3 linked regions of the Callithrix jacchus genome follow. The main gene of each other region encodes a partner of the protein of the gene in region 2 in a complex. Links are inferred from orthologs where the notes say so. Each region holds a gene or a part of one and is shown on either strand. Other genes may lie near its edges.

Evidence for each region.
Region 1: the proteins of SRRT (region 2) and NCBP2 are in contact, whole or in part, in a cryo-EM structure (PDB 8PMP), measured with the Homo sapiens proteins. The link is inferred for Callithrix jacchus from reciprocal best matches to the Homo sapiens genes SRRT and NCBP2. Residues at the interface, in NP_056992.4 of Homo sapiens: Asp857, Arg859, Ala860, Ile861, Val862, Glu863, Tyr864, Arg865, Ala869, Asp874; in NP_031388.2 of Homo sapiens: Ser48, Phe49, Tyr50, Thr51, Thr52, Glu53, Gln55, Lys67, Met71, Leu73, Met76, Lys77, Lys78, Thr79, Ala80, Tyr89, Asp107, Glu121.
Region 3: the proteins of SRRT (region 2) and NCBP1 are in contact, whole or in part, in a cryo-EM structure (PDB 8PMP), measured with the Homo sapiens proteins. The link is inferred for Callithrix jacchus from reciprocal best matches to the Homo sapiens genes SRRT and NCBP1. Residues at the interface, in NP_056992.4 of Homo sapiens: Asp857, Pro858, Arg859, Val862, Glu863, Tyr864, Arg865, Asp866, Leu867, Asp868, Ala869, Asp872, Asp874, Phe875, Phe876; in NP_002477.1 of Homo sapiens: Tyr461, Gln463, Lys511, Lys557, Ser558, Ser560, His561, Ser564, Ala567, Lys568, His570, Lys607, Ile609, Arg610, Thr611, Gln612, Met648, His651, Glu705.

Annotation. Positions count from the first base shown.
Region 1 is NC_133516.1:25,207,253-25,210,995, reverse strand, and holds the start of NCBP2 (nuclear cap-binding protein subunit 2), read right to left. Parts: upstream 2,501-3,743; 5' UTR 2,449-2,500; coding exon 2,371-2,448; exon of another isoform or gene 2,315-2,370; intron 1-2,314. Other genes in the region: protein NCBP2AS2, read left to right, coding at 2,661-2,960. UniProt on the Homo sapiens protein: Component of the cap-binding complex (CBC), which binds co-transcriptionally to the 5' cap of pre-mRNAs and is involved in various processes such as pre-mRNA splicing, translation regulation, nonsense-mediated mRNA decay, RNA-mediated gene silencing (RNAi) by microRNAs (miRNAs) and mRNA export.
Region 2 is NC_133503.1:12,837,417-12,841,159, forward strand, and holds the end of SRRT (serrate RNA effector molecule homolog), read right to left. Parts: coding exon 3,656-3,743; intron 3,368-3,655; coding exon 3,306-3,367; intron 3,210-3,305; coding exon 3,131-3,209; intron 2,872-3,130; coding exon 2,683-2,871; intron 2,382-2,682; coding exon 2,208-2,381; intron 2,127-2,207; coding exon 1,973-2,126; intron 1,858-1,972; coding exon 1,664-1,857; intron 1,464-1,663; coding exon 1,307-1,463; intron 1,132-1,306; coding exon 1,030-1,131; intron 911-1,029; coding exon 784-910; intron 692-783; coding exon 616-691; 3' UTR 491-615; downstream 1-490. Other genes in the region: UFSP1 (ufm1-specific protease 1), read left to right, coding at 1-313. UniProt on the Homo sapiens protein: Acts as a mediator between the cap-binding complex (CBC) and the primary microRNAs (miRNAs) processing machinery during cell proliferation.
Region 3 is NC_133502.1:145,761,325-145,765,066, reverse strand, and holds the start of NCBP1 (nuclear cap-binding protein subunit 1), read right to left. Parts: upstream 2,848-3,742; 5' UTR 2,570-2,847; coding exon 2,536-2,569; intron 1-2,535. UniProt on the Homo sapiens protein: Component of the cap-binding complex (CBC), which binds cotranscriptionally to the 5'-cap of pre-mRNAs and is involved in various processes such as pre-mRNA splicing, translation regulation, nonsense-mediated mRNA decay, RNA-mediated gene silencing (RNAi) by microRNAs (miRNAs) and mRNA export.

The sequences.
Region 1 (3,743 bases), on a different chromosome or scaffold from region 2:
CACTGATTTGTTAACATGGATGGGGCATCTTCTTTTTCTACTTTCCTCACACATAAGTAAGGTCCAAATAAATAGCCTACAGTTTAAGATAACTACGGTACAAGTACTTAACTATATGAATATGGATTCCATTCACAGAATGCTAGAAATTCCACATGACAGTATGGTATTATTATCTAAATAAAGCTCTAGGTTTTAGACTGAAGAGATGAATAATAGACAAAGTCAAAAGTTTTCAGTTTTCATTTTACATTGAAGTTAAAAATGGTTAGGATGTGGAATTGTCTGAAGTAATAGCTGTAAAAGTGGTAGAAGTGCAAATCATGCCTGGCACTAAAGCATCTAAAAACCTGACCAGCCGGGATCAGTGGTTCATATCTGTAATCCCAACACTTTGGGAAGCCCAGGCAGGTAGATTGCTTGAGTCCCCGAGTTTGAGACTAGCCTGAACACTGCAGGGAGACCTGTCTCTACAAAAAGCCATATGTAGTGGTGCGAACCTGTGGTCCCAGCTTCTCCAGAGGCTGAGGTGGGAGGATCACTTGGGCTTAGGATGCTGAGGCTGCAGAATCGTGATTGTGCCACTGCACTTCAGCCGAAGCAATAGAGCTAGTCTCTGTCTCAAAAAATAAATAAGTCTTGTTTTATTTGAGACATACTCTCACTCTGTCGCCCAGGCTGGAATGCATAAATAATAATAAATCATTTTAAGACATAGTCTCATTCTGTCACCCAGGCTGGAGTGCAGTGGCATGATCTCAACTCACTGCAACCGCCTTCTGGGTTCCAAGCGACTCTCCTGCCCCAGCCTCCCAAGTAGCCAGGATTACAGGCAACCGCCACCATGCCCAGCTAATTTTTGTATTTTTAGTAGAGATGGGGTTTCACCATCTTGGCCGGGCTGGTCTTGAACTCCTGACCTCGTTATCCACCTGTCCTGGCCTCCCAAAGTGCTGGGATTACACGTGTGCGCCACCGTGTCGTGCCCGTCCTTAAAAATTTTTTTTTTTTGAGATGGAGTCTCGCTGTGTTGCCCAAGCTGGAGTGCAGTGGCGCGATCTCAGGTCACTGCAACCTCCGCCTCCTGGGTTCAAGCATTCTCCTTTCAGCCTCCGGAGTAGCTGGGACTACAGGCGCGCCCCACCACGCCCAGCTAATTTTTTGTATTTTGAGTAGAGACGGGGTTTCATCATGTTGGCCAGGATGATCTCGATCTGTTGACGTCATGATCTGGCCACCTCTGACTCCCCAAGTTCTGGGATTACAGGCGTGAGCCACCATGCTCGGCTGAATAAATTTAAGAGCTTCCCCAATTTGCTGTCAAACAAAATTTCCTTTTCCCTACTTTAGTAACACATTTCACACATTCTCCACACCTACCCTCTGCTATGTACAGCCCTTCATTTCCCAGTCACATGGGGATTCCCCCCGCTTTTCTGAATCTTCACTACTTCTGTCTTAACTCACTTCTGCTTAGATTCTGATTACTTCCCTCCATTTATAATCCATACTACGGGGAATTATGAGCTCGTCGAGTGCAAAAATCTGTCTTCCCTCTCCCTCTAGGGTTTAGTACAAGGCTTTAGCAACAGCACTCAATAAACATTTACTAAATAACTGGGTTAAAGAGTCCCGCTAGCCCCAACCGTATTCCATCCCTGCCTTTGTTGATACTGAAAAGCCTACTCTGAATATCTGCAGCCTCCCCCTTTTTCACAAAATATAGTGATACAGTATTCGATATAGTTGGGACTAAAAATTTCCCTCTTCTGAAATGCAGCAACTCTCCCATCTTTACACCCTCAACGTGCCCAGCTTGACGGGTCCACCTCCTACTCCGAAGGTTCCCCGAGGGCGGAGTGAGGACTCCACTCGTGTCTCCCACGCACCGCGTACAGTTTCCGTAGGACCACCCTCCCAGTGAGGGGGCCCGAATCGCGGAAAGGCACTGCTTCGCTGATTTAAAAAACAAAGTAAAAAGCCCCGTGTCTGCATCAGGAAGGCGCCTCTACAGACTCAGGGAGTTAGGACACCCCTCCCCCTTGTTACGTAGTCACCTTCCCGAGGCAAACCGTGGAAACGGGAGCCACTACTACTACCACTCAAACCTCTCGGCGCTGGCCGGGGTACCGGGAGTGCCTGCTAGGGAACGGGAAAGCGAGCCTCAAATTCTCAATCTTCCAGAGAAAGTGGCTTCATCGATATCCAAACGCCCTTGCAGCACCCATTCCCTGCCTCCCCAGCAGGCACCGAGGCCCCACTTGGCGTTTGGGGACTCCAGCATAATGGGATGCAACACGAGACAAGAGCAAACCGTTTCTCAGCGTTCTGGCCCAGGGCCTTCCCCTCTCGCGGCCGGGCCTCCCTCACCCGGAAGTGCTGGTCCCGGTACTGGCTCAGCTCCACGTAGGAGTCGCTGCGCAGCGCCTTCAGGAGGCCACCCGACATAGCGCAGAGAAGCGGACGAGGATGCGACAACTCCCGACACGAGGCGGCGACTGCCGTGGCGGAAGCGGAGACGGGCGGAGACGCGCATCTTATTGGACCCAATCCGGGCGACAGTATCGTCATCAAGCTGCGCGAGCACAAAAGGCGTCGGGTCGGGCCCGCGGAGCAGAAGGTAAGGGCGGCGCGCTGCGGTTTTCGGGCGCCGGGAGAGGATGGTGCTCCGACGGCTGCTGGCCGCCTTGCTGCACAGCCCGCAGCTAGTGGATCGTCTGTCGGAGTCGTGGCCTATCCGACGTGCGGCGCAGCTCACAGCCTTCGCACTGCTCCAGGCCCAGCTGCGGGGCCAAGACGCGGCCCGCCGCCTGCGGGACCTCGCGGCTGGGCCCGCGGGCTCCCTGGGCCGCCGCGTTGAGCGATTCAAAGACGCTTTCACCCAGGAGCTACGCCGCGGCCTCCGGGGCCGCTCAGGGCCACCACCAGGTAGCCAGAGGGGCCCGGGCGCAAACATTTAAGCCTGGGCTGCGCGGGGCTGAGGCCGCTTCTGGGCTCTATTCTGGCCTCGGCGTTGAGGGGTCATTCCGGGCACTGCGCACGGCCTCGAATCCTGACTCCGATTTTTGGCCTGCGGATATCCCACTCAGAAGAGCCTAGGCCAGACCGCCGTCTCCGTTGAAGTCTTGTGATTTGACAAGGCACAGTGTGGAGAAAGACCCCGAAGCCTAACAGAGGTGAAGATGGGCTGGGTCCAGTCACAGCACCTATGGAGAGCCACCGGCCGAAGCCACAGAGCCTTTCCTCTGCAAATGGGATTGAAACTCTTGACAGATGCTGCTGAATCTGCACGGGTATAGCAGGACACTTAATTCCAGGGACGATATGGATAAAAAGACCACCCTACAGCTGCCAAAATCCTTTGATTAAATGTGTGAGCTGATTAATAGGCATGAGTGTGATACTTCTCAGGCAAGATGGATGAAGAATACTGGGGACTGTAGGCCTATGGTAATAATAAACACATACTTTATGAAATGAGTATTTATTCTGTGCTGCGACTTGCTAATAGCATTCTGTGTGTGTGTTTTTGTGTCATCTCCTTAAAACCACATTCACATGAGGAAGCAGAGATGGGGTAGTCTCATTGTGTTGCCTCGGCTGGTCTCAAACTCGAGCCCAACTGATCCTCCTGCCTCAGCCTCCCAAAGTGCTGGGATTACAAACAAGAGCCACTGAAACAGAAACAGAGGCTGCTGCTTAAGTTGCCCAAAGCCTTGCAGAGTAGGATGTGGGCAGAGGCA
Region 2 (3,743 bases):
GGGAGCGGGGCTGCACGGGGAGCTGGAGAGGCTTTACTCCCATTTCGCAGGGGGCGGGGGCCCAGTCATGGTTGGGGGCGACGCGGATGCCAGGTCTAAGGCCTTGCTGGGAGTCTGCATCGGGTCAGGCACGGAAGCCTATGTCCTGGTATTAGACCCTCACTACTGGGGCGCTCCAAAAAGCCCCAGTGAACTACAGGCTGCTGGGTGGGTGGGCTGGCGAGAGATGAATGAGGCCTTTGACCCCAACTCTTTCTACAACCTGTGCTTGACCAGCCATAGCTCAGAACCGCAACAGCACCCCCTGGACTGAGGGTGAAGTTCAGAACTGAGACTCTCCAGTCCCAGACATGCACCTGTGTACCTGGGGCTGGTGCCCCCGCAGAGCCTGGGCCTTTTGACAGCAGTAATAAAAGTGGCAGGGCTGAGCAACACCTCGGGAATTCCTTTCGAAGGATGGGGGCGACATGTAACATACATGAGTCAGAAGCCCTGTGGAAGTGCTTTTATTGGCAGTAAGGCTGATCGTACAAAAAATTCTCAAGAGTTGGAGGGAACCAGGTAGTCACAAGTAAAGGATGATACAGGAGTGAGGAAGTGAGGAACAGTGACAGTTCAAAAGAAATCAACGTCGTCTGGGGCATCCAGGTCCCGATATTCCACAATGGCCCTTGGGTCTCCACGAACCATCCTGTGAGATGAGAGGTAAAGTATGAGAGCTGAGGGCCCCCAAAAGGGAGTTTGCAGGGGCAACAAAGCCTGGGCGCGTGCGCTCCGCCTCACCTGTTGCGAGGTTTCCCAGGATAACCTCCCTGGCCTCGGAAGGCATCGTAGTTCCCTCGGCCAGCACCATACGGGGCGTGGGGATATGGAGGGCCTCCTGTGGGGACTGCAGGGCGGACAGCACCAGCTATGACAGAGATCAGCGTTGAGTTGCAAAACTATGTCCTCAACTCCATCCTCTGTTTCTTTCTCCCTTTCGCCCAATGTCACACTCACCAAGCCCCTTCATCTCCCTCCTCTACTTACCTCCATAGCCCAAGATCGGAGGCCGGGGCTGACCGTAGGGCATCAGGCCCTGGGGAGTCTGGTGTGGGTAGGGGAGTCCCGGGGTCAAACCTGGGGGGAGTACAACAGGGACAGGGACGTGAATTACTGCGGGGGGGGGAGGGGTGGGAACAACTGACTTTTAGGGCTATGGCCTGAGGATGAGGCAGAAACTTCTCAGGCCAACAGGTAAGAGAAACAGGAGTCCCTGGACAGTCAAGGGACGGGGGACATGTGACCCTCATGGATCGTATCTTACTCTGGGCAGGGCCAGGTGGCTGGGCTGGCTTGATCTCAGGCAGAGCTGGGCGCTTGGCATCAGTGAGGAAGTTGTTAAAAAACGCAACCTCCTTTTTCACTTCCTCAATTTTCTCAGCATGCTTGTTGAAGATATGCTTGCGCACAAACTCAGGACCCTGAGTGGAGAGAGGAGCGGGGTCACAACAGCCACATAACACTTGCCTCGATCACAGGCCCGACCTGAAAGGATTCCCAGCTCCCACCTGCCAGTCTAGTGAGCAGTCCTCAACTCCCACCCCAGCCCAGGCCTTTAGGGGCTTCCTGTCTCAGCCCCACCTCCCACCACCCTGGCACGCCCATTCTCCAACATCCAGACCTTGAATTTCTTGCCGCTGAGAGGACACAGCCACTTATCCTTGCCCAGTTCCTGCGTGTTGGAGGTAACGAATTTCTCCACTTCCTGCTCTGGGTCTTTGCGGCCCATCTTCTGGGCCTCTTCCTCTGAAAGCGACTCCCGCACACTGAGCAATGGCGTGAGCTTCTCCTCAAACGTCTTCTGCCACTCCAGCACTATGGTTTGGGAACAGAGGAAGGAAAGTTGGGAAGGGAGCTGGAAGGAAGGGTGGGAGGGGCTGGAGGACCAAGGCAAGAGGCAGCCAGGGAGAAAGGGGAACCTGGAGCTCACCTTCCCCATGACTGATGCGGTTGGGTGGCATGGGCCCCCGAACGTGGATGATGCCACAACGATTGGGCATCTCGTCCTCGTTGGGGTACTCACAGGTGTTGTAATAATCCAAGGAATGCACAATGCGCAGGTAGAGGAGAAGCTTGTCCAATACCTGAGTTGAGTATGGGTGCTCAGCTCCTGCTCCTGCCCTTACCACCCGACCCCCACATCCCTGTGCAGCCACTGCTGGCACCTTGATCAGCTTCTCATCCCGCTCCACATTGATCTCTGCCGGGTTCCCTTCCTTAGGAGGCTCCTCAGGTGGGGCACCCCCGCTGCTCCCCAGCAGCTCCTCCTCCTCAGCACTCACTTCCTCGATCAGGTAGTCTGTGATATTCTTCAAGATCGGGTTTTGCGAGGGCAGGCTCTGGTGGAAGGAAGAGGGGCAAGTAAGGCAGAGAAAGACCTTCAGGGCAGGTAACCTGAGACCTTCCGAATGTGAAGAGTGGTGAGGGGACAGGAGTTCACCAGACAGAACTGGTGCCTTTTGCCCCCTTGGGATTTGTCTTCATTTTTGCCTTTGTTCCACCCCAGCCCACAAATGACCACTAGCATGCCCCAGTTCTGCTGGAAGCTGGAGGAGGTGCTACAGACAGGTGAGGTTAGAGGTACCCACAGCAGAGGAGGTGCTATCAGCTGCCCCTGACAGTCCTGCGGGAGTCACTGACCGTTGGCGGGGGAGGCGTCCCTGGCTCCGAGGCCCACAGCTGGGTCCTGTCGTCCAGCGTGTGGACCAGCTTGGCTGCCAGCTTGATGTCATTGCGCACGATCTGCTTGTGCTGGGTGATGCCGTTGATGTTACGGACACGTCGGGTCAGGTCCCTGTTCACACCGGGGCTCAGCTCGCACTCCCGGAGCTGGAGGGCAGACATCAGAAGTTTACTCCACTAACCCCACTTGCCAGGGAGACGTAGCAGCTCTAAGACCCTCCCCTCTTGAGTACCAGCGATCGATCAACCTGTAAGCTCCCTCAGGACCGGGACCTGACAGGTAGGTCCTGTCTTTGTCTGCCTACATTGCCTACGTTGCCTCTGGGCAAGGCTCTAGGGCAGTTACCAGGACAGATAGGTTAGCCTCCCACTCTCTTCCCCAGACAGTCCCACCCGCAATACTCACACGGATGTTCTGCAGATTCCAACAGATCTCTTTAATGTTAACACTGCGGTCAAAGGTCACCCAGCCACGACGGAAAAACCTACAGAAGAAAATGTTAGGGCAGTCAAGCGAGGGAGGTGGTGCTGGCCATCAACGTTCCCCTGCACTTTTTCCTCCAACACACCTGGTTACTCACCTCCTCTCTGGCTGGGGCTCTGAGAGTGCCACCCGCATAAAGCCTGGGTACCTTTTACAAAGCTGCAAGAAGCAGAAAACCAGCCCTATTTAGTGACTCAAGGATTCATTCGATTCTTCCTCCAATCCCCCACTGTCCTCAGAACCCTAGAGACTAACTGCCTGGTCACTCTTCCCATCCTTGAGCAGGGCAAAACCACTGAAGGGCTTCAGAACACCAGCATCTGAAAGCCAATGGCATGATCAAGACGAGCCCTCAGAGGGCATGAGCTCCTGGGGAAGGGGCCCTCCCTATTAGGTGAAACGGGGGCCCCACTGCCTTCCCTCTGCTCTCCACTTCTCCCCACTCACAGAGATGATCTCAGCCCGGGAGATATTGGGCGCAATGTTACGCATGAAGAGGGAGCAGGTCTTATGCAGCGGCCGCGGCTTGCACTCC
Region 3 (3,742 bases), on a different chromosome or scaffold from region 2:
AATATATTACATATTCTATTATAATATATTACATATATACTCTTTCTATATATAGAGTCAAGCATATGGAAAGTCAGGGCAGTGATAGACAGGAGCTGACAATTATCCAGAAATGCTCAGATGCATCTATTTAATTCTGACTATAATTCCTAGCCTATTATAAAATAGCCTTCTATAATACTTAAGCTTCTAAGATGTCTTATTTTTTAGAAAATAGATGTTTAACTATTTTCATTAGTTGGATTATTTGGAAGCTAAAAGGAAAGCATCCAAATTATCTGATTCAGATCACTGTGTAGGGTCAACTCCAGCTGACTGTTACCCAAATTGTGGCGATTTACAGAAATTTCAGATTTGCCGTATTATGAAGTATGAACTGTATCTGCCTCTCCCATACTAAAATACCCACCATATTAACCTTTGCTTAATGAATGCCTTCTTTTGCTTCTTTGTCTTACTTACTCTGAGGTTGTCCAGCAAGACACAAATGGACAGTGACTTGGCTGCCAGCTGGTGTTAAAGCCAACTCCAAGAAAGTTATGTCAGTCTCCCAATAACCAAAGCAAAAGTTATTTTTCTACATATTTGCATTCCAATTCTCTAGGATGCCCGAAAGTGACATTTTCTCTCTCCTTAGGGATTCCCGATAAGGGAGAAAAAGCATAAGAACAATAAAGAAAATGGAAAGGACAAAAGATTCAAGTTATCCAACCCCCAAGTAATGACTCGGGAAATATATTCGCTTTTGATTAATAACAAAGCAAATGAAAACTGTATTTTTGTCGGGCGCAGTAGCTCACATCTGTAATCCCAGCACTTTGGGAAGCCAAGGTGGGTGGATCGTCCTGAGCTCAGGAGTTGAAGACCAGCCTGGGCAACGTGGCAACACCCCATCTCTACGAAAAATACAAAAGTAAAAAAAAAACAAAAACCGGCCGGGCATGATGGCCTGCACCTGAGGTCCCAGCTACTCAGGAGGCTGAGGTGGGAGGATACTTAGGCCTGAGAGGCAGAGGTTACAGTGAGCCGAGATTGAGCCACTGCAATCCGGCCTGACAGTGACACTCTGTCTCACACACACAAATAAAGGGGAAATGTATTTTCTGTGCCTTGTACAGAGGTTACACAAGAAGCCTCTTGTGGTGGAAATCAAAGCACGCAGCCTAATTTATACCTGTGTAGCGAAGAGAGCCCTGGAATGGACTTGCTCTTCCTGGTGTCTTGGAACTGACAGCTGTCTCTCCGTGTTAGTTATACTCAGTCTCTATATCCTTAGGCGTCCGATGATAAGGCTGGACTAGAATAACCCTTCAAGCCATGCCTTTATAGAAATCTGGTGCTTCCCTATTAAAACTAAATGCATGAGATTCTGCTTCCACCTCAACTGCCGCAACACCCAAGCAGAGAGTAGAGAAAATTTAAAATGTCTGTTACGCTTTTTCCCCCTACAATGACAGCATATGCTAATGTTTACCACCTCTTAAGCATTGGCAAATGATAAATCATCATCGTGGGCCACTGCTGACGTCTCATTTAACCTTCACAAACCCCAGAAAATGTAAGTATCATTGCTTCTATATTACTAAAGTTTAAGGAGATTACATAACCTGGACAAGATCACAAAGCAAACGGTAACGTCTGGCTTTGAACCTAAACCCTCTGGTTCCAAAGTCTCACCTCTTAAACGTTACTATACACTCTCTTCAAAGATTAACACACAAAAATGTTAATAACATAATTACTCTAAGTTTCACTTTTTGTGTGTGTGGATTTGTATTTATGACCGATTGTAAGGCTTATGTGTAATGTAAGCATCTTTTGTTTAAACTAGAATTAGTCCGTTTTTATGAAGGCAACACCTTGACCTCCACGAGCACAATCATCCAAATGGAGATAGAAACCCCTAACTCTCTCAGAGGCCTGAGTTAGTTTTCTAGCACTCTTTCTCACACGAGGGAAATGTGCGTGCGGCCAGTTCAAAATCTGCCGTAACCTGTGTCTATTAGGGACCTCTTGGGCGTAATAAGACAATATTCCTTCTTCGCAGTTTGAAAGAAGGATAATCAACAGATGACCAGTACCGGAACAGAGTTCAGACTGCAATTCATGAGATCTCAGTCCTTTCCTTCAGTGAATTTTTTCGAGCCCTTTTCAGGTGCAGCTTTGAAGGTTAAAACGAGACACTGGGGTCAGTGGGTCCCTAAGAGGCACCAGTACAGACACAGGTGTGCTTCCCTGCTCCGTGGTGCTAAGGACCAAGCTCTGAAGCGTCCTTAGAGACCAAGGGTCTATCCGTGGGGTTCACCAGGCCTCCTTTCCCAGGATCGGCCCATGACTCAAGGAACTGGGGCGGGGGAGAAGTCGCTTTCCAGAAGCCTTCCGGCCACACCGGTACTGTATTCCACTCTTTCCCTCCGCGGCTCCCCGCACGCTCCCGGGAAAAAGCGGTTCCCTTCTCTTCCCTGGACACCCAAAGATTCCGAACCTCGGCTCCCAACCGGGAGCGGCCTCCGCGGCAGGGCCGCGGGCACTCACCGTCGTTCTCGTCGCTGTGCCGCCGCCGCGACATGCCGCCCTACGGTGCGCCGCGGAGCCGAGAGGCCAGGCGGTAAGCCCTGCAGGAACTGCCCGGCCGTTGGCCGGCGCGAGGGCAGCTGCGAAGCGCGCGGATGCGCCGGCACGCAGGCGCAGTCGCTCGCCACGGCTCCCGGAAGCGCAGAAGAGGCCGCTGGGTGAGCTCAGAGCCGAAAGAGCCGGCGTGCAGAAGCTCAGAGGGCTACGGGCGTCGGGCCCGCACGCAACCGCCCCCTTCGGGCTGCCTCCGCCTGCCGGCTGCTTCTTTCTCCCGCCTTCCGCTCTATGTCCTTCCGGGGCCACGCAGAAAGTGCCGCCGCTTCGACCAGTCAGAGCCCCCGGGCCAAGGTCGTCGTACGTCTGAAGGCAAGTGGTGCCGGCGGCCGCTCTAGTCCCCGCCTCCGTTCAGGCCGGTCGTTCGGGGCGTCTCAATGGTTTTCCCGGCGGCCCTTGCGCCGACGTCCAGGAGACTTCCGGAGCTTGGTGACGTCACGAGCGAGCTTTTCTACCCAAACATGCGGCGGGGGCCAGACTCGAGGGCAGTAAGCAGTGACAATTGCTAAGTGGAGATGGTGCAGGGAAGAGAGACCTAAGAAAGGATCAGGACTGGCGGGTATGTGCTCATCTACTCCCACTTTCCGGCTTTTGCCGCCTTGGGAAAAGTGGGCGGAGAGGTTGGGCCAAGCTGTGCACGCGGGGTGGGGCCTGGGCGGGAGGCGGTGCCGCACGTGCCGCCCCCTGGGATGGAAAGGCCGGTCCTGACGCGATCTTGCTGCTACCTGCTGCTCCTGGCTTGCCGGCTTGCCGTCATTTTACCTAAGTGTTTGCTTAAGAAGGAACAAATGATTTTTGGTCATCTGTCTTCAAGGATTATTGGGTGCCTATATGCCTGTGTGTGAATATTCCCTCCTCTGATGTCTTTCTGAGCACCATACTGGCTTACCTAACTACTTTGTCCATGGCCATCTGAAATTTCACTCTCTCGGACTAATTCTCTTTCAGTCTTATTTCAGTAAATTACGTCATCGATCGGCTGCTTAATCCAAAAGTTTAGGGAGTCTTAGTTCTTTTCCCTCACTTTTTACATAACAATTATTTGTAAACCCTGCGTGCTCTGCTTTCAACACAAATCCAGAATCAGATCGTGTTACTGCTTTGTTTAAAAGAC